Nothobranchius furzeri: one gene and its partners. The protein of the gene in region 1 interacts with the protein of each later gene in a biochemical or structural test. Links are inferred from orthologs where the notes say so. Each region holds a gene or a part of one and is shown in the gene's direction. Other genes may lie near its edges. The genes, in order: ikbkb, cops5, tnfrsf1a and map3k7.

Region 1 (5,338 bases):
TCTTAGCACGCCTCTGTTGTCACTTGGCTTCCCGGGGCTGGAGGCTAGGAGGGGGATCTGGCCGACTGGCTGGGGTCTGGGGTGGTGGGTCGCTTTGCTCGGCGTTGGGCGGGGATCTGCTCATCAGCACCCCAGCAGAAAGGGTTGAACTCTGGGAACCGGTGATGGTTGTACCCAATGTGCAGCAGTACCGGGACCAGAGTGAATAGGGTGTGTATGGGGAGCATGAGTGGGTGTCCGGCGTGCATTTTTGTAAGTCTTTGGTTGTATGTGTATGTGTGAGCATGAGGGAGGGAGTGTGTGACTGTGTTTGTGTATGACTGTATATGTCAGGTGGGGCCTTTGACTCCTCCCCTCTCCAGGGACTTCTTTTGCTGCTATACATCTTCGCCTCCCCTCCCCCTGTCACACTTGGTGTGGGGTGTGGTGCCTTGGTCTGCATGATTGATTTTTGGCATCTGCCTGATTAATCTCTGTGGCTGCCTGCGGGATCTGAGTCCCTGGGCTCTGTTAGGTCCCCAGCGGGGGTGGTCGCCCCTGGGTCCCAAGTCGCTGGGTTCCAGGCTCGTCCGGCTTGGGGGTGGGAGGCTGTGGGCGGGCCTGTGGGCTTGCCGCTGATATCCCCCGGGACTCTGCCGGCTGCTGGTTGTAGCCCCCCAGAGTGATCTTCTGCGGCTCTTGAGGGGGGGCAGGGGATTTTCTGGTTGCAGTCTCCCTGGGTTCCCTGCGCTCTGGGGCAGCTCCTGGATCTCTGAGACTTGGAGCTCCTTCCATCTCCTACACATCTTTTGGGGGCAGATCTGTGGCCCCTCACACTCTCTACTGGACGCTCCTATAGAGAAACCTTACATAAACAAGCGCATGTACACTAGGTGCTCACATGGTGCTCTCTAAAGCATGGACTTGGGCACGTTCAACACTTGTCTTAAGGCTGTGGTTGGCACTTAATGCACTGTGATTTATTATCATTTGTTCAGTAAAACAATGTTGATTTTATATTTCCTCATCAGGTTGACACAGTGATAGCTTGCTCCTGTTGTATTGTTGTTGTGCCCCTTTTCTTTTTCTCTCCTTCTGCAGGTGTAGAAGCAGACTCTTGTTCATCATTGATTAGTTGATTTTTTAAGGCTTGTCACCAGCATTCAGACATTAATTCTGTTTGCTTCACAGCCAGACAGGACACGAGGAAACAAAAAAAAAGAACCGAAACCAAAATCCCGCTGTGCATTTGTCTTTAACACTGAAACAGCTGAAACGTCTCCCAATCTTTAGTGTCTCCAGGAGTGATGCATCACAAAATAAAACTTACCAGCTGTGTTCATGATCTAAAACGTGCAGGAAACGTGCTGGAGCCGGACAGCAGCGTCAGGTATGTGAGCTCAATGTTTTCCAAGTCCAACAGACCGATATGTGTACCGTTATAATAACTGTGTAACACCTGTTAACCGGCAACTGTGAAGTTGTTAGTGCGATATTCTGGCCACAGGGGGCGTTATTTCATTAATCCTGTAAAAAGGGTCATTTTAGCGCACAAGAAAATTATTTAAAAATGTAAAAAAGTTTGTAAACGCGTGGATTTTCATGTTGTGACCTCCAAAACACTGACTGGCGCAAACTGAAAGGCTACTATCAAACATTCCCTACCCTCATCTATCAGTTTGAAGTCTGTGAGCTGGATTTGAAGATTTGACCCGAGAAGTCAGCCCGCGCGGTGGGCGGGGTTTATGTCTCATCAGGTTAACAGGAAATATGAGTATCAGGAAGTGGACAGCCTGGGAGATGTGTTGTCTCGCCTAAATAAGCAGACAAAGCAGTTTAACTCGGTTAAAAGCTCCATACACGCTTTTGTTTAAAGAAAATCAAGCGTGAGAGCGACTTAAACGCGGTTAAAGACGTTTCAAGGTAAGACCGAAGCGGACTGATGCTCACGTGCCTGAACATGAACCGCAAACATGTTGTAGTAGGTCGTAATAACAAGTATCTCAAAAGAGAAAACCTAGTTTAGTTTTATTCTGTTGCCAAGCAGAGAAACGGGTCAATGTGCAGAGTAAAGCTTAAAGTCTGAAAAGTCCTTTAATGCAACAGCAGACCTCATTAAAACGCTGCAACACAAACAAAACGCTGTTTTCTCATAAAACTAGACGCTTACATTAAATCTGCGGGTTTAACTGCAGCTTGAGAAACATTTAACACCAACTTGTAGAGTTTACGTACATTTAAGTGTCGCTGTGGAAAACCTGCTTTTATAAAAACGAAACAAAATTGATTATTTCCTATCTCTAACACGTGGTTATTAGTCCTCAAAACATCCGTTTTACTTACATGCAACTTTCAGAAGTACTTACTCAAATCATTTTATTTTTAGTCTAAGAACAGATTATATTTAGACTTCCATTTAAAATTGCTTTATAACAAATATAGAAACTTATAACAGCATAGAGACGGTCAGGTCCTACTTGTGACATCTGCTCTTCTCATGGAGTCCCACAGGGTTCAGTTCTAGGCTCCCTTGCTTTTCTCTCTACTTCCTCCCACTTACCTGGACCTATTTCACCCATTTGAGCCTGACTCCACTGGTAATCTGTTAATTTTAGGGTAATTCTTGGAATATTCTGTGCATTGCCAATTCAACATCATTCTGTACATTTAATAATTCATTTACTGCGTAATGGGTGACTGAGATTACTTCAGGGCATTTTCTCAGGGCTAACCTCTGATAATGAGCTCTAAGAGAGTTCTACTTAATTAATTTATTTGTTTATTTATTTATTTGCAGGTGAGGAGACCATGAATCGAGTCCCTCTGCAGCAGCCTCAAAACTGTGGGCCTTGGGAGCTGAAAGAGAGACTTGGCACAGGAGGCTTTGGGAATGTCACCAGATGGCAAAATAAGGTGCAATTTAAAAAAATCTTGATGAAAATAACTTTTGTTATGGGGGGAAAAAATCAACAAGGGTTATTTATCTTGAAAATGGATGGTTAAACTTGGATTTTCTTTAGAAAAGCATGACAAAGAATCACTTTTTTGATATTATTTCAAATTTAAAAAGCCTAATGTGTCTTTATCTTTAAAACATACAGTTTTCTAAAATTCCAGACAAATAAATGTCTTTGATTATGCTTCAGCATCTCTTTACTGGATAATGTTAAAACTCTTTCGTTACTTTTTCTTGTCTAACAAAATGAGGTCGGTGTCATAAATCTCGAGTGTTTGTTTATTTATGCTAAAATTATGCTAAAAACTTGTTATTTTAGATTTCTGCCTGCAGTATTGCAGCAAGACTCTCAACACTGCTAACTTATGGTATTATAAGTGGAGATTTATTGATGTTTCTGAGCAGGATTTGTTTGCAAGAGAAGACATGGTGTGTACACAAACGTGCTCTAAGATGATGTTGACCTAGTTTGTGCTTTTGGGTTTTTTTTACCTGAGAAATAAATACATCATACAAGGAAATTCATGATGTCTGATTAAGTCACAGCATGACAAGGTGAAAGGACAGTACGGGAATATAAACACTCCCTGTTAGTTCCTCTTCCTCGCAGCTGCACTCGTATTACTCACCCTCACTTTCGGGACGACCTCAGAGCCATGCAGGCAGCAGCCTAGTCTGGATGTAACACAGGATGAGGAACTCATCATTTACTTTTTTGTAAAAACAAAATTTTCATGCACATTTAAAAAAATATTATAATCAGTTCACATCAACACAACATAGTAATCATTGAAACTGTGTTAAGGATTTTGTGGTCCTCTTCTGCACCGCTGCAGTCTGGATTTTAGGAGGGGATGGGGAAAATGCTTTACTGATGAAGACGCCCTGGCACCACGGCTGACATGAATTAACTTCCTTCTTCCTGCGTTTATGACAATGCTGTGGGTTACAATTAGGTCAGGGTGGTTTGGGATTTCATCAAGAGAGGAAAGAGGGGTGGTGCCGTTTCCTTGATGAGAAACAGGTTGCGGGCTTTGTCTTTTTTTAGAGAGAGGATATTTTTTTTCTGTTCTCTGGACTGTTAACTGCTAACCTTTTTGACTTTGCCTTTTATCGATTTGTTGAATCTGAAAATTAACGTCTACATTTCTTTGTTTGATTTACTGTTTGTTTGCTGTTCTTGCTTCCGTAAAGCACTTTAAAGAGCAAGTCACCCCCAAATCAACTTTTTTTTCTGATAAACTATATAAATGCTTGTCTAATCGTGCTGCAGACACGTGTCATCAATAGTTTAGAACTTTAGTGCATTTTAGTTAAAATTTAAATTTTCTGCCTAAAACTGTCAGTGTTGTGCCGTTGTCAGGTCAAAACTGCACTGCATTTGAATTTAAATCTGCCACCGCTATTGGCTAAGAGGTACCCTAGAACGTTAGCTGGTAGTTTAAATTTAAACCTGACATTTTGTTATTAACCAGGATAGAGAATGCCCGTTTGACTTTTTTTTCCCATTGATTTGTTCCAAGGTGAAGTTAAATAATTTACCAACATTAAAAAAAAGTTCATTCCACAGTATGAATGTAAATGCTGGACTTTGTGTGTTTTCCTGATTTTGGTTACTATTGTTATCACTGCTATTGTTTTTATGATGTTTTTATTGGTTTGAGGTATTTGCCCTGATTTTACTCATGTTGTACAGCGCTTTGTGATTTATATCTGTGAGAGGCGCTATATAAATAAACTTTACTAACTTACTTACTTTTTAGGACACAGAGGAGCAGATCGCTATAAAGCAGTGTCGTCAGGAGCTGAGTGACAGAAACAAAGAGCGATGGTGTCTGGAGATCCAGATCATGAACAGGTCAGTTTCACCGCTGCATTAAATGAATGGAGGGTTGTTGTTTTTCCTCTCCTAAGCTTTTATCCCTAGTTTCTGCTTTCAGCCAATAAAGTCTGTGTTTGTGTTGTTTACTTGCAAATCTCACCAACTATTTCACCTCAGCTGTACGGGCTATTTATGAACACGTTTCAGGACAGGAATAAAAAACAACAAATGTGGATTCTCCACTCCTAGAGCCTAACATTGATGCCCGTGCTTTTCTATTAGAATACATCTGTTATACTGTGGGTGTAAAACGAAAAACTCTGATCCATCTAACAGAAAATCCTCGGACCCGTCAGATTCTGTCAGGAAGTTCAGTCGTAAAGCGATTTTACTCCAAGTTTAAATTTATTCTGCTGCAGCTGCGATGCTCATCAAGGGTTTGGAAACTGCTGAGTTAATTAATTAATTTCCACATAAATAATCTCCGTATCCGTCTGGCCGAAAGCTCAGGAGATCAGAGTTAAAGTGGCTGAACGACTCGATGTAAAAGTTTGAGGGGAAAAGGCAGAAGTTACATTGGT
Region 2 (3,953 bases), on another chromosome or scaffold:
ATGGAAAAAATATCAGTTGTTAATATTGGCCTGGTTTTATTTATCGGACGATAACGATATGTTAAAAAATGACTAACATCGGCTGATATTGATGCCAATATGTTGTGCATCCCTAATGTCAACAATTAGATTTAAAACAATATTACTGCTTATTTCTATTTGTATTTGGCAGAATGTTAATTATGAGTGTGAGTGCAATTGTACAGAAGCTCTACGATGCACATTACAAATGCATTGTGTTGGAGTTGGAGCTGGGTGCTGAATTGCTCTGTGTTTTTGCCGTGGTGAATTTCATGCTGGAGTAATAAAACAAAACGTGTGCATCAACTGTTTCTACTACTCCACTAGGGTGTGATAAATGATTTATTTTTCCCTTTTTCCATCGTTTTGAACCGTTTTTTAGGATAAATCTGTTGTTTCTCTAGAAATAATCTTCAGTTTGAAACAGTTTGGAGTATTATATTAACTAGTAGGGAAGCAGTCCTTTTATAAAAATGTTTGTGTCGTATTAAATCTGTACCATCGGTCTCATCTGGTAGGTTGGTCGGTTGGAGAACGCCATTGGCTGGTACCACAGTCACCCCGGCTACGGATGCTGGCTCTCCGGCATAGACGTCAGCACTCAGATGCTCAACCAGCAGTTTCAGGAACCTTTTGTTGCAGTTGTGGTGAGGCAGGAAACGCCACTTTTTTGTTTCTTCAAACAAATAAACATGAATGTTTATGTCACTGAGAAGATGTATGAGTTGTAGCTTTCTGTGTTGTGTTGATGCAAACATGGACACTTCATTTGGTGCAGCGGCTCTTGGCTGCCAGCGGCATCACATAATTAAGTGTGTGTGTTCTGTGCTGTGACAGCTCCGGTGGTCAGGTTTGAGTGGTCCCCGGAGGCTTTCGTGACCTCTGACCCTGTTTTCCTGCTCTACTGTATCTCTCTCTCCACAGATCGACCCAACCCGGACTATTTCCGCAGGGAAAGTCAACCTCGGTGCCTTTAGAACATACCCAAAGGTAGAGGAAAAGAGTCGGGCAAATTATGTGTTTAACGTTTTTGGGACACAAAACACGGGTGTGCTGTTACAATAAGTTTCAATTAATGCTAATCGTTTTAAATTTAAATCTGTTCACTTTGGTTTTTAATTTAAAAAGTCTTTTCTCTTCACTTTCAGGGTTACAAGCCTCCAGACGAGGGACCGTCAGAGTACCAGACAATTCCTCTGAACAAGATTGAAGATTTTGGCGTCCACTGTAAACAGTGAGGAGCTGTAGAATAAAATCATTGCATTAAGGTCACTTTAACTTTGTGAAACTCCTTATTATTTATTTCTTTTGTAGGTATTACGCCTTGGAGGTAACCTACTTTAAGTCATCCCTTGACAGAAAACTCCTGGAGCTCCTCTGGAACAAATACTGGGTTAATACCTTAAGTTCCTCCAGCCTCCTGACGGTATGTAAACAAGCTCAAAAATCAAAATGTGCACTAATTGTTTGGCATTTTGATTTATGGTTAATTATTACACTATAACTCATTCAGACATGCGCTCAGCAGCTTGAGATGTTGTGATTTATTGCTGCAGAATAGCTAAGCCTCCTTGTTTATTAGTGTTAGTAATAAGCTTAATGTGGACTTTTGTAACGAAGATGAGTAGGAAAGTTAGGCGCTCTCCCGAGACTGATGTGAATTTGCATGGTGGCTCTGTCCTGAACGGGAATAAATATGTCAGGCTTGAACAAACGGTGAGTTTTGGGGGATTCTGGGTGAGGATGAATTGACTAGATGTCAGGAACGAGCTGCTCCACGGGCGACAGGCTTTGTCAGGAGCTATAGTCACCCTGCAAGGTCCCCGTGTCACTATTAAACGCAGCCTCACCTTAAGTCAACATTTCAGTCATTCACCACCAAAGTGTCCCAGCAGCCTGTCGGACAGATTTGTTAGCCTCCTGCAAAAAAAAAAAAAATCCTATGTAGAAAAATCTTTTGCTGGCAAATTGTGCATGAATTGGTTTCTGTGTGTGTGTGTGTGTGTGTGTGTGTGTGTGTGTGTGTGTGTGTGTGTGTGTGCGCATGTGTGCGTGCGTGCGCGCGCGTGTGTGTGTGATGATCAGAACTCGGACTACACCACAGGCCAGGTGTTTGACCTGTCGGAGAAGCTGGAGCAGTCCGAGGCCCAGCTTGGCAGAGGCAGCTTCATGCTCGGCTTAGACACACACGACAGGAAGTCCGAGGACAAACTGGCCAAAGCGACACGAGACAGGTAGCTGGATAGGGCTAGACAGTTCAAATCAAATGTTAACTAGTTTATTTTGTCATCACATGGATCATTTACATGGGCTCTTCAAGGTTCGTGGTTCATAGGATCACATTGATTGATTTTATTATTTTAACTGTGACTTCTGGCATTAGTCCACTGAAGTCTTTTTCACAGAATGACATAAAATCTGTTATTTACTTTTGTAAACTTTCAGATTTTAATTAAAGCCCTTTTTAGGCTTATTAATATTATCTATTATTTATGAACCATTTAAGTCACAATTCTGATTAAATCAACAGTTCAATTTTTTCTAATTCTAGACAAAAATCAGTTTTTGAAGCAAATGGTTTTTTATTTATATTGGGCCATACTCAGATTAAAAATATGCATTTGACACTTAATTAAATTAAGCACATAATTCAGATTTTTCATTAGAACTGTATTATTGTCTAATGTACCTTTCTTTATTTTTGTGTCAAAAATTTGTTTCTTTGCTTTTTTCCACAGAATTAATTATCAACAAAATATCAGGAGAAAAATTCAGACTTTAAAATTCAAAACAAACTTTACTGAAGCTCTGTTTTGTCTTTATAATGTTTTCTAACACCAGCAGAGATGTTTTATCTCTGTGTCGCACTAATTTTTTGTTTTTCTGTTTCTTTTTAGCTGCAAGACGACCATAGAGGCGATTCACGGTCTGATGTCTCAAGTCATAAAGGATAAGCTCTTTAATCAGATCAACACTTCCTCCAATTAAAGCTCCACCCGGAGCCAATGTGTTAGTTTTACATGGGATGTCTTTACTGTGCATGCATCCACTGTTTAACTCTGCACCATTTCTCTTTGAAGTGATTTTTGTTTGTCCGAGAAGTGGCCAAGATCGCGACAATGCAAGCAAAAAATAAAATATTAAGTGCAGATTGTGTCAGTGATTCATAATTTTTATTTGTTCATATGTTTTTTTTTGTTGTTGCAGGCTCAGCTCACTATCCAAAATGAATTAGATGGATTTTATTATTGTTTCTTTATAAGATTTTGCCTTTGAACAGTTATTTTTCCTCACATTTCTCTGCAGCTGAACATTTAAATAACACACTGTGGTCACATTTATGTCCTAGCCCTGCTGCAGGCGATCATTGCTTGTCATAGCATTACATAGTGGAACAACAAACTCAACCTCCTGCACAGGCTCAGCGGGAATCTGCTGCCATGAGTGGGTTGTCGCTGGCGTCACTTTCCCGTGCAGCTCGGCGGGCGGCGTGCTGGCAGAGTGGTTGGGGAGGCAGGTTGCTGCGAGGCTGTGATGCAGCACAGAGACAGAAGCCTCAGACACAGAAGTCCATTCACCCAACGTGTCTGCTCTCCATCGAAGCAGACACTCACCGAGTCTGCCTTTTATTCTAACTGACAGCTGCTCTGGTCTGGCTTTGTGTCATGTCTTGTTTTTTTGGTATTGTAATGGCTAAACGTATATTTTTGGTGTCATGTCCTGCAGAGTAGAGAATCCCTGTGGGACCGGTTACATGCCTGTGTTTTCTCACGCACATGGGCCTTTGGCACCAATTCTTATAATGATTTTCTTCTACCATTATAGGAAATGTCGTAAAAATGGAGCGGTTTCAATTTAATTCTGCAGAAGTGAGAAATAATTTAAATATAGAAATAGTTTTAAAGGCAATCTAGTGAAAAGCTTGTGTTTTT
Region 3 (5,108 bases), on another chromosome or scaffold:
TATATATATACACATACATATATATATATGTATGTATGTATGTATGTATATATATGTGTATGTTTATATATATATATATATATATATATACACACATACATATATATATGTATGTATGTATGTATATATATATGTGTATGTTTATATTATATATATATATATGTATATAATATATACATACATACATACATACATATATATATGTATGTGTGTATATATATATATATATATATATATATATATATATATATATATATATATATACACATACATATATATACACATACATATACATATATATATGTATGTATGTATGTATATATATGTGTATGTTTATATTTTGTATACATATATATATATATATATATATATATATATATATATATATATATATATATATATATATATATATATATATATATATATATATACATATATATATATACATACATATATATGTATATATGTGTATATATACACGTATATATATTATATTTCCTTCACAGCTGTAACACTTTATTGATACATAAAGAACGAGTTTGCTCAGTTGCAGTACACAACGTTGCCACAAGATGACCCACTAAATCCATTTATATTGACCTTTAATCATTCAGTGTTGATCTTACAAATAAAATGCATTGAAACTGCGATTTTTGTTTGTTTCTTCAGATTTTTATTTTGCTCGAAGAAGAAAAGATTTGAATTCATTTTAGGTTCAGAGATCCACTTTGTGGCACATTTAGAAAAATACAAATGCAATATATTGTGTTAGTAAAAGTGCTAAGCAGGTCTTTTTGGTTGATTTTATTTCCAAAAAGTAAAGATAAATCATTCAGGGGTGACCGAAAGAATGAGATCACAGGTACAAGTTGCTGAAATGAGTTTTCTCCGCATGGTGGCTGCCTGGCTGGGCTCTCCCTTAGAGATAGGGTGAGAACCTCGGTCATCTGGGAGGGGCTCGGAGTAGACCTGCTGCTCCTCCACATTGAGAGGAGTCAGTTCAGGCGGCTCGGGCATCTAGTTCCTTGGTGAGGTTTTCTGAGCACGTCCAACCGAGAGGAGACCTAAGGGAAGACCCAGGACACGCTGGAGGGACTATGTCTCTCAGCTGGTCAGGGAACGCCTTGGGATTCCCCCGGAGGAGCTGGCCCAAGGGGAAAGGGAAGTTTGAACCATGCACCCTGTTTAGGCTGCTGCTCCCACAGCCTGACCCTGAAAAGCTGCTGAAAATGAATGGATGGATGGGAAGATAAATCATTTTTAGGAAAGGTTTGTAAAGCCACTGCATTTAGATCTATAAAAGAAAGAAAAAGATTAAGATCAGCAGCATGAATTTGGAGTTGCATAATGCAGCTTGAGGGCATTTCACTGAAGAGGTCAGATCTCAGCAGAGGGTAGAAAATAAAGTTGTCAATATAAAGATGGACAGAAGAAGGCAGAATTACAGGATTTCAGTTTTTCCACATTAAAGATCATAAAATGCCACAAATACAAAAAAAAAACCATCAAACAATAAAACACTTCACTATAAACGAGTCTCCAGCCTGCAGCCTATTGCTCATTTAAACAGGTTGGTTTTCTTCAGGTTCCTTGCCCAACTGCCACTATTCCTTGAAACGCGTCGGTGACGCATCTATTTCCCGTTTGAGTCCGCCTTCTTCTATCCAGGCAGCGGCTGCGGCGCCGACAGCGCGCTGGCTCTCCGGGAACACAAATAAAGCACTATTTTAAATCCTACAGCTTCTAGCCGATGTTCGGAGCGAGAAGACAGGTGAAAGCGTCCCTGTGAGCGCAGCTGTTCAGGTAAATAACTGTAAAACACGCGCGTAGGTCTGTGGGAAGAGCAGACTCATCTCAGACCGGGGGGGTGGGGGGAGGCATATGTGGTGCCGAACCGAAACTATGAGTTCAGAAAGAAAAACAATGTCTTGAGCAGATTTAGATTCGACTAATAATTTAGTTTGTTTATTCGTCCGCAGGAGAGATTTGAGTCTCGGGGATTTTAAAGTGAAACGTCAGCCTGGATCAGGGGTTTAGTTCCAGCGCGACAGGGAAGTGAAGTTTGCCAAAGTGGCGCAGAAAAATGTGACTGACGCAAAAAAAAATAATCGCAAACGTTTTAGCAAATGCGTTTAAATGATGCATCTTAATGCCTCCTGTGTAGTTAGGGGAATAAATCCAGTTTGTTTGTTACATTATTTTTGTTTTATCTGATAAGCCTCTTAGGGGAAAACAAATCTCACCTCAACCGGATGTTTCCGGAAACTGAACCATAAATAATTAAATAAAAGAATTAGAGGGGAAAATGACAATAAACTCAACAAAAATGATCACATTTTTCATTATTTTTTATTTCTATAAAGTCACGTTGTTTGTGAACGGATGGTGTCACTTGAGTAACATCTTTTGTCAGAATATTTGACATCATGCATGCAAATACACGTTTAAATAGTGATTTTAACTGATTGTAGCTCTTAAGCACTCCCTTTGCTTTCACTTGTAACTGTAAATGCTTGCTTGAATGTTCTTATTTCTGTTTTTATCTCTGTGCAGTGACCTTGGGTTTTAGGCACCCTAGAATAACATTTATTATTATTATGTTAAACCCAGAATGAGTCGATGATATCACCTGATTTGCTTCAAAACAGGAAAATGGTTTCGTGTGTATTTAATATTCAAATAAAATCCTTAGTAACCGAGAACCTCCTCTTTTGATATAATCGAGGTGGTAAACTGGGTGCTATTCTTTTGAATGTCCAGTTTGGCTTTGTCTCAGAGCCAAAGTACATTCATTACATTCCAGCACAGTTTGTGTTCAATCAAACGTCCAGTGAGCAGGTCAGAGGTCAGCAGCAACAGGTTAAACTGATAAAACCAAAACTAGAATCATAGATAACTTTAAAGTCAAACCCTAAAGCCTTTTTGTAAAAGAAAACCCCCAAACTAGTCACAGTTATTAGGTACGCCTTACTAGTAAACGGGTTGGGCCTCATTTTGCCTTCAGAACCTTCTTAAATGTTCATGTCAGAGATTGAATTTTTGGAAAGATCCCTCAGAGGTTCTGGTCCATATTATCGTGACATCGTCACAAAGTTAGATCCTCCTGTTCTCCCACATCCTGAAGGTTCTGGACTGGAGTGAGATCAGGTGACTGCAGAGGCCGTCAGAGTCCAGTGAACTCGGTCAGAGGTGATCTAAGCTTGCTGACATGGTGCATTATCCTGCTGGTAGTAGACATCAGAAAATGGGTCCATGTAATAAAAGATGGACAGCAACAATACTCAATTGGTGCTAATAAGTTGGACAAGAACATCTCCACATGATTACACCAGCAGCAGATGGATCCATGTTTTTATGATGACACCAAATTCTGACCCTAGCATCTGAATGTTGCAGCAGACATCCAGACTCATCAGACTTGGGGAAACATTTTTCCCGTCTCCTATCGTTGAATAGATCCTGTGATATGTGTAGCTACAGTTTCCTGTTTTTACCTGACAGGTGTGACACCCGCTGTGGTTCAAGGTTCAACATGTTGTTTACTGACCTTTGTTGAAACTAGTGACCATTTGATCTTCTTTGATAACCTCAAACCAGTCTGCCCTTCCCCTTTGACCTCTGACATCAATGAGACTTGTTCAACCACACAGCTGCTGCTCACTGGGATTATCTGTTTTTTAGGGCTAGGGGTAAACGGTTATTTTTAAAACGATTATTCTGACGATTATTTTATCGAATAGTCAACTATTCTAATGACTATTTAGACAATTAATCTAATGATTAAATTTCTATTGCACAGTTAATAAAAACAAAAAAAATCTAATAAATTCCTCAAAAAATTGATAAGTTGTTACTGTAAGAGAATAAACACTACAGGCCTTCCATTTTGTATAACACTGCTTTTATTGTGTTGCGATTGGTTGTGTTCTGGTGACGTGTAGAACGTGGGAGTGCAGGCTGCTGCCTGAGAGGTGGTTGGAGATGGAGTGTCTCCATGCTGCTTTGTTTTGGTCACTTATGTGCGTGAGGCGAGTGGTGTTACAACCCTTCCTGGGGAGTTTGGCTTGTGTGCAAAAAGGAAGGGACAATAACACGGGATTTAAAAGTTAAAATGATGATCAGATTTATTTACAACTACAAAAAAAAAACATAAATCTTTCCATCCACCGGTTGGGAATAATAAAACTTAATTCTGCCTGTGGGGGATTAAAACAAAGTACAAATAAGTAGGGATGTCCCACTGGGCAAAGATTACTGGGTTCTGGACCAAAATAAGAATCTCCAAAGGTCCAAACTCTAAACTGGGCGGTTAAACCAAACTCGAGGTGATATTTTAAACTAAACCGAAAACCCACAACACTCTAAATGGAATAAAAGGGAGATCTGCACCACAAAAAAGATGAACTCTAAACCAAAACGTAACAGCTTATCCAAACGCAAGAAGCTGTTAGCGAAAGTGCTAACAGTAGCTTTACCAACGTTAAGTTCAAGTTACCAAGTTTAAATAAACCAAAAACACCCAGCAGCAAACAGACCAGCACGGAGGAGAGACTGCTACCACAAAAACAGCTCTCCTAATGTCTGAAAGAAGCTCCTTTATGAAGGGAGAAACGCTCCCGGTGATTTTCTACATCTGCGATAGAGACGAAGCAGCGCATCTGACCCCGGAAGTTGTTGTCCGTTGCCGGGAGACGAAGGCGGGCAAAACAGGAAAGGAATACGTTGTTCCGGGTCTTCTGTATTTGGTGGAGATGTTAGTGAAGGCGGAGAAGAGGGCGAACTGGAGGAAAAACAGGCAGATTCCACCTCTATTTACAAACTCCTGGGGATGCAACAAGTGGGCGTGGTGCGTCGACTACCGGATCTGACGTCGACAAATTTTTAGAATCGAGACATCTACATCATCGAGGCTTCGCTACAGCCCTACTGTTTTTCTCCTAGAAATGGTTGTGGGGGGAAATCCATGTAGACCAGCAGAATCATGAAAACAAGGGACCACATTTCTCCAGTGCTGGATTCTCTTCGCTGGCTCCCAGTCTCATACCGGGCACAGTCTAAAATTCTGCTTTTTGTGTCTTAAGATTTTCCAAGGCAGTGCCCCCACCTAC
Region 4 (4,556 bases), on another chromosome or scaffold:
TACAGCACATTTGCAATAATCAGACTTTTATTTTACTTCCACAAAAAGCTGATTTTAGATGAGATATTACAGAAAACTGGAAGGTTTGCCATCAAACCTAAAAGCTGCCCCTCGTTAAGTACAAGTCAGGCAGCAGGGCTCATTGGCGACTTTCCAGTGCGGAGCGAGCGACGTGTTGGAGACTCCCGGTTTAGAAGCAGTTTTTTCTGCAAAAGGAGGATCTGCTAAATATTGAGGTGATTTATTTTTTGTGGTATTTTTTATGTATGCTCCCGCCTAATTTAGTTTAAACAATTATTGCACACTTTCTGTAAATCTTATGAACTTTGTTTCACTTCTCAATCTCAGTGTGTGCGTCTCCTGTGGGATATATGTAAGTGAAATTTTCATCCTAACCAACGATTTTCACATGAAAGTCACGAAGGCTTCCCAAACTTTTGCATCCCGTTGTCGGTGCATGAGCCGAAGGCGAACGATGCAGTTAGTTCAGCCACATCCTCTGGTGTGTTTCTGTGTAAACGTGACCATAACGCCTCTTGACCAGCCTCTGTTTGGAGAAATAGTTTACATCCTGAGGACCGATGAGCTTCCTGTGGTTGATCCAGGGGTCATGTTGCTAAACAAGAGAAACTGGCTGTAGTATAAAGGGTTAAAGCACTGATCACATGACCAGAGGCTGCTCCGAGGCCACCTACGGTGATGATTCTGGCCTAATGTGAAGGTGTTTATTGGTTGTGATGTTCTTGTTGCTGCTGCAGCCTGCTCCTGGTGGCGGGCGGCACCGTGCTGAAGATCTGTGACTTTGGGACAGCGTGTGACATCCAGACCCACATGACCAACAACAAAGGAAGTGCTGCGTGGATGGCTCCCGAGGTGTTTGAAGGCAAGTATCAGTGGCCGTTCATTTAGGTGGTTTGTGTTCTTGTTGGTTCTGTTTACTTCCATCAGTTCTCTAAGTGATCGGGGGGGTTCAGTCTTTTTCTACATTAATTGCATCTACAGCTTCAGCACAGACGCATTAATTGCTGCTCCGTCGTCAGCCTCGGTGCTCCTCTGTCTTATCGATGGTTGTCTCCAGAGTGTGGCGAGGAGATGAATGTTTAAAGCTACTGCTGTTATTTCCCCTGGGAGGCTGCAGTTTAAAATGCGTGTTCTCATTCAGCCAGCAGCCTAATGGAGTGCTAAATGATGAAACATGTTCCTGGCAAGGGGGTCGGGGGGAAAGATGAATTCATGTCTAGTCATTATTTTGTTTTTGAAGGCATGATACACGACTCCAGTGCAATTAAACAACTTACTCCTGCCCTCTCCGTGAACTCCTCGCAGCTAATTTGCATCAGCGTGAAAAGCTGTCAGAACATCCTTGCACAGCAACTTTAAAATCGGTTTGTGTTGTGCACTTTTATGTTGCATCAGAGGCCCGGCAATTAAGAAATACAAGAGCCGTTCTTCTGGACAAATTGCTCCCAAATTTTCCTCCTGCTCCCTCCTGGAAGCAAAGAGAAGATAAAAGCTGCTGCTCATTCCCAGGCACATTTCTCATTCTCATCCCAAATGTGCCACAGAGAATTCCCTTCATCAGCCATCCGTGTCAGACGGAGGTGTTTCTCCCCGTTTGAGGAGTGGGAAGGTCCTGAGTGTTTGTGTGGGTTCTTCTGTACACACAGGCAGCAATTACAGCGAGAAGTGTGACGTGTTCAGCTGGGGAATCATTCTCTGGGAGGTCATCACTCGCAGGAAACCTTTTGATGAGATTGGTGGGCCAGCTTTTCGCATTATGTGGGCTGTGCACAACGGTGAGTCACTCTGTGTGTGTGTGTGTGTGTGTGTGTGTGTGTGTGTGTGTGTGTGTGTGTGTGTGTGTGTGTGTGTGTGTGTGTGTGTGTGTGTGTGTGTGTGTGTGTGTGTGTGTGTGTTACTGAGAGACCAAAGCAGTGGTTCGTGGGGAAAATGTGTTTTCTGTAGGATGAAAGATTTCTTCATCACTTTGTTATATTTTTATTAAAACGTCTCTCTGCTCTTACGAGCCTTTGTTATTGATTCATTGTAGATAAAATCCCAGATTTCTTAGATTAAAAACATGAATTAATGTTGTGACTTTTTTATCAGAACTGCCGATGTTATCGGTCAGCCTGTAATATCAGCTGATGTCGATATCAGAACGTATCTGTATCAGTTTTCAGGCTTTTATTGACACATTTACATAACATGCACACATATTATACATCAGCATCTTCAGCTACTTTGCCTCTTTCAAAATGAGGTAAAGTGTTTGAGATGTTTTAGTTTATTTGGAACAACTTGTGAAGTAGAAATTTGCCCTGCGTAGTGAGCGTGTGCTGTCCTCGCATCACTTGGCTAACAAACCACTATAGAAAAACGAGAATCTTCACCTTCTTTAAAGATATATTATCTTCTTAGTGGTGATATACAGAAAAATACAAGAAACTAACTAGGGCTAGACGATATCTAAAATATTAATATAATTGCAAACAAGAAACAAGATGACTGTAACTTTTATATCTATAAATATACAACCAGTGAATTTCTAGAGTTAGCAGACGCTGCTAGCTTGTCTTTACATGAATTCACACACATCTGCTCAATCAGGAAACCTTTGGGTCAATGTTCCGCTTTAAACTTTGCATTTAGATTTGTGGTTTCTAATTATTTGGGGATGTTTGTATTTTAGCGAGCTTTGTTTCGCCGCTGCGTTCCCTCTGCGAGAGCATCGTGGTGGAGGAGGAGGAGAATGCGTGCATGCAGGGGCGTAGCAAGCTAAAGTGTGGCTGTTGACATCTCTCTGATATATTTATAATCCAGTTCTTATTCCACCAAAAGTAGTGCACCAGCACCAAAGAGCAGACATGAAACAGATGATGAGTATTAAACTAGTCTAGGGGGTTCTGGGTTGGACATTTTATGTTTAAAAACATCAGTCTGGTGCATTTTGAGAAATAAAGTAGAGTTACAGGCTGGTGAGATTGTACGATAACGTATCTATACATGTTCATGGTATTGATTATATATCCTGTCCTATCTTTAATCCGTTTTGAAAGAAAGTGATATTTTCTATAGCGCCTCTAAAGATAGAAACCACGAGGCGCTTCACAAAAACAAAAAACATTTAAATATAAAAAAGATTTCAAAAAATGATCAAAAAACATGTTTAAAATAAGCAAAAATAGACTATTGTGATTAAGAAAGGCAAAGAAAGAGAGAGTGAGAATAGGAAAGAACACCAACTACAGCGAAATCCTCTGATGCATCCGTGCAGCTCAGTACCACACCTGTATGATGTCACTAGTTACTAAAGAGCCAATCAGCTGGCAGAGCTGCTGGTGAACGTGTAAAACTACGTGACTCAACTTAAGGAACAAAGTAGAATCCAGCTGCTGTTGTTTATTTGTTGTTGTTTATAGAAACTAAATGTATCTGCAGGGCTTCAGGCCCAGGGCGGAGTTTTAGACCTCCGACCGAACCAATCCACACCTGTTATTAATAGTGTTGTGTATTATTTACACCAGTCAGTAATGTTTACATCCACACCTGTTATTAATAGTGTTGTGTATTATTTACACCAGTCAGTAATGTTTACATCCACACCTGTTATTAATAGTGTTGTGTGTTATTTACACCAGTCAGTAATGTTTACATCCACACCTGTTATTAATAGTGTTGTGTGTTATTTACACCAGTCAGTAATGTTTACATCCACACCTGTTATTAATAGTGTTGTGTATTATTTACACCAGTCAGTAATGTTTACATCCACACCTGTTATTAATAGTGTTGTGTGTTATTTACACCAGTCAGTAATGTTTACATCCACACCTGTTATTAATAGTGTTGTGTATTATTTACACCAGTCAGTAATGTTTACATCCACACCTGTTATTAATAGTGTTGTGTATTATTTACACCAGTCAGTAATGTTTACATCCACACCTGTTATTAATAGTGTTGTGTGTTATTTACACCAGTCAGTAATGTTTACATCCAGACCTGTTATTAATAGTGTTGTGTATTATTTACACCAGTCAGTAATGTTTACATCCACACCTGTTATTAATAGTGTTGTGTGTTATTTACACCAGTCAGTAATGTTTACATCCACACCTGTTATTAATAGTGTTGTGTATTATTTACACCAGTCAGTAATGTTTACATCCACACCTGTTATTAATAGTGTTGTGTGTTATTTACACCAGTCAGTAATGTTTACATCCACACCTGTTATTAATAGTGTTGTGTATTATTTACACCAGTCAGTAATGTTTACATCCACACCTGTTATTAATAGTGTTGTGTGTTATTTACACCAGTCAGTAATGTTTACATCCACACCTGTTATTAATAGTGTTGTGTGTTATTTACACCAGTCAGTAATGTTTACATCCACACCTGTTATTAATAGTGTTGTGTATTATTTACACCAGTCAGTAATGTTTACATCCACACCTGTTATTAATAGTGTTGTGTATTATTTACACCAGTCAGTAATGTTTACATCCACACCTGTTATTAATAGTGTTGTGTATTATTTACACCAGTCA

What was found.
Region 2: of the proteins of ikbkb (region 1) and cops5, one has a biochemical effect on the other in vitro, tested with the Homo sapiens proteins (2 studies listed by BioGRID). The link is inferred for Nothobranchius furzeri from reciprocal best matches to the Homo sapiens genes IKBKB and COPS5.
Region 3: of the proteins of ikbkb (region 1) and tnfrsf1a, one has a biochemical effect on the other in vitro, tested with the Homo sapiens proteins (2 studies listed by BioGRID, with this or other methods). The link is inferred for Nothobranchius furzeri from reciprocal best matches to the Homo sapiens genes IKBKB and TNFRSF1A.
Region 4: of the proteins of ikbkb (region 1) and map3k7, one has a biochemical effect on the other in vitro, tested with the Homo sapiens proteins (5 studies listed by BioGRID). The link is inferred for Nothobranchius furzeri from reciprocal best matches to the Homo sapiens genes IKBKB and MAP3K7.

Annotation. Positions count from the first base shown.
Region 1 is NC_091757.1:55,668,130-55,673,467, reverse strand, and holds the start of ikbkb (inhibitor of nuclear factor kappa-B kinase subunit beta), read left to right. Parts: upstream 1-1,750; 5' UTR 1,751-1,902; intron 1,903-2,776; 5' UTR 2,777-2,787; coding exon 2,788-2,892; intron 2,893-4,698; coding exon 4,699-4,793; intron 4,794-5,338.
Region 2 is NC_091747.1:51,738,798-51,742,750, reverse strand, and holds the end of cops5 (COP9 signalosome complex subunit 5), read left to right. Parts: intron 1-539; coding exon 540-668; intron 669-945; coding exon 946-1,011; intron 1,012-1,169; coding exon 1,170-1,255; intron 1,256-1,335; coding exon 1,336-1,447; intron 1,448-2,106; coding exon 2,107-2,255; intron 2,256-2,918; coding exon 2,919-3,009; 3' UTR 3,010-3,170; downstream 3,171-3,953. UniProt on the Homo sapiens protein: Probable protease subunit of the COP9 signalosome complex (CSN), a complex involved in various cellular and developmental processes.
Region 3 is NC_091745.1:73,830,485-73,835,592, forward strand, and holds the start of tnfrsf1a (tumor necrosis factor receptor superfamily member 1A), read left to right. Parts: upstream 1-1,653; 5' UTR 1,654-1,803; intron 1,804-5,108.
Region 4 is NC_091743.1:91,294,256-91,298,811, forward strand, and holds part of map3k7 (mitogen-activated protein kinase kinase kinase 7), read left to right. Parts: intron 1-758; coding exon 759-887; intron 888-1,671; coding exon 1,672-1,796; intron 1,797-4,556. UniProt on the Homo sapiens protein: Serine/threonine kinase which acts as an essential component of the MAP kinase signal transduction pathway. Plays an important role in the cascades of cellular responses evoked by changes in the environment.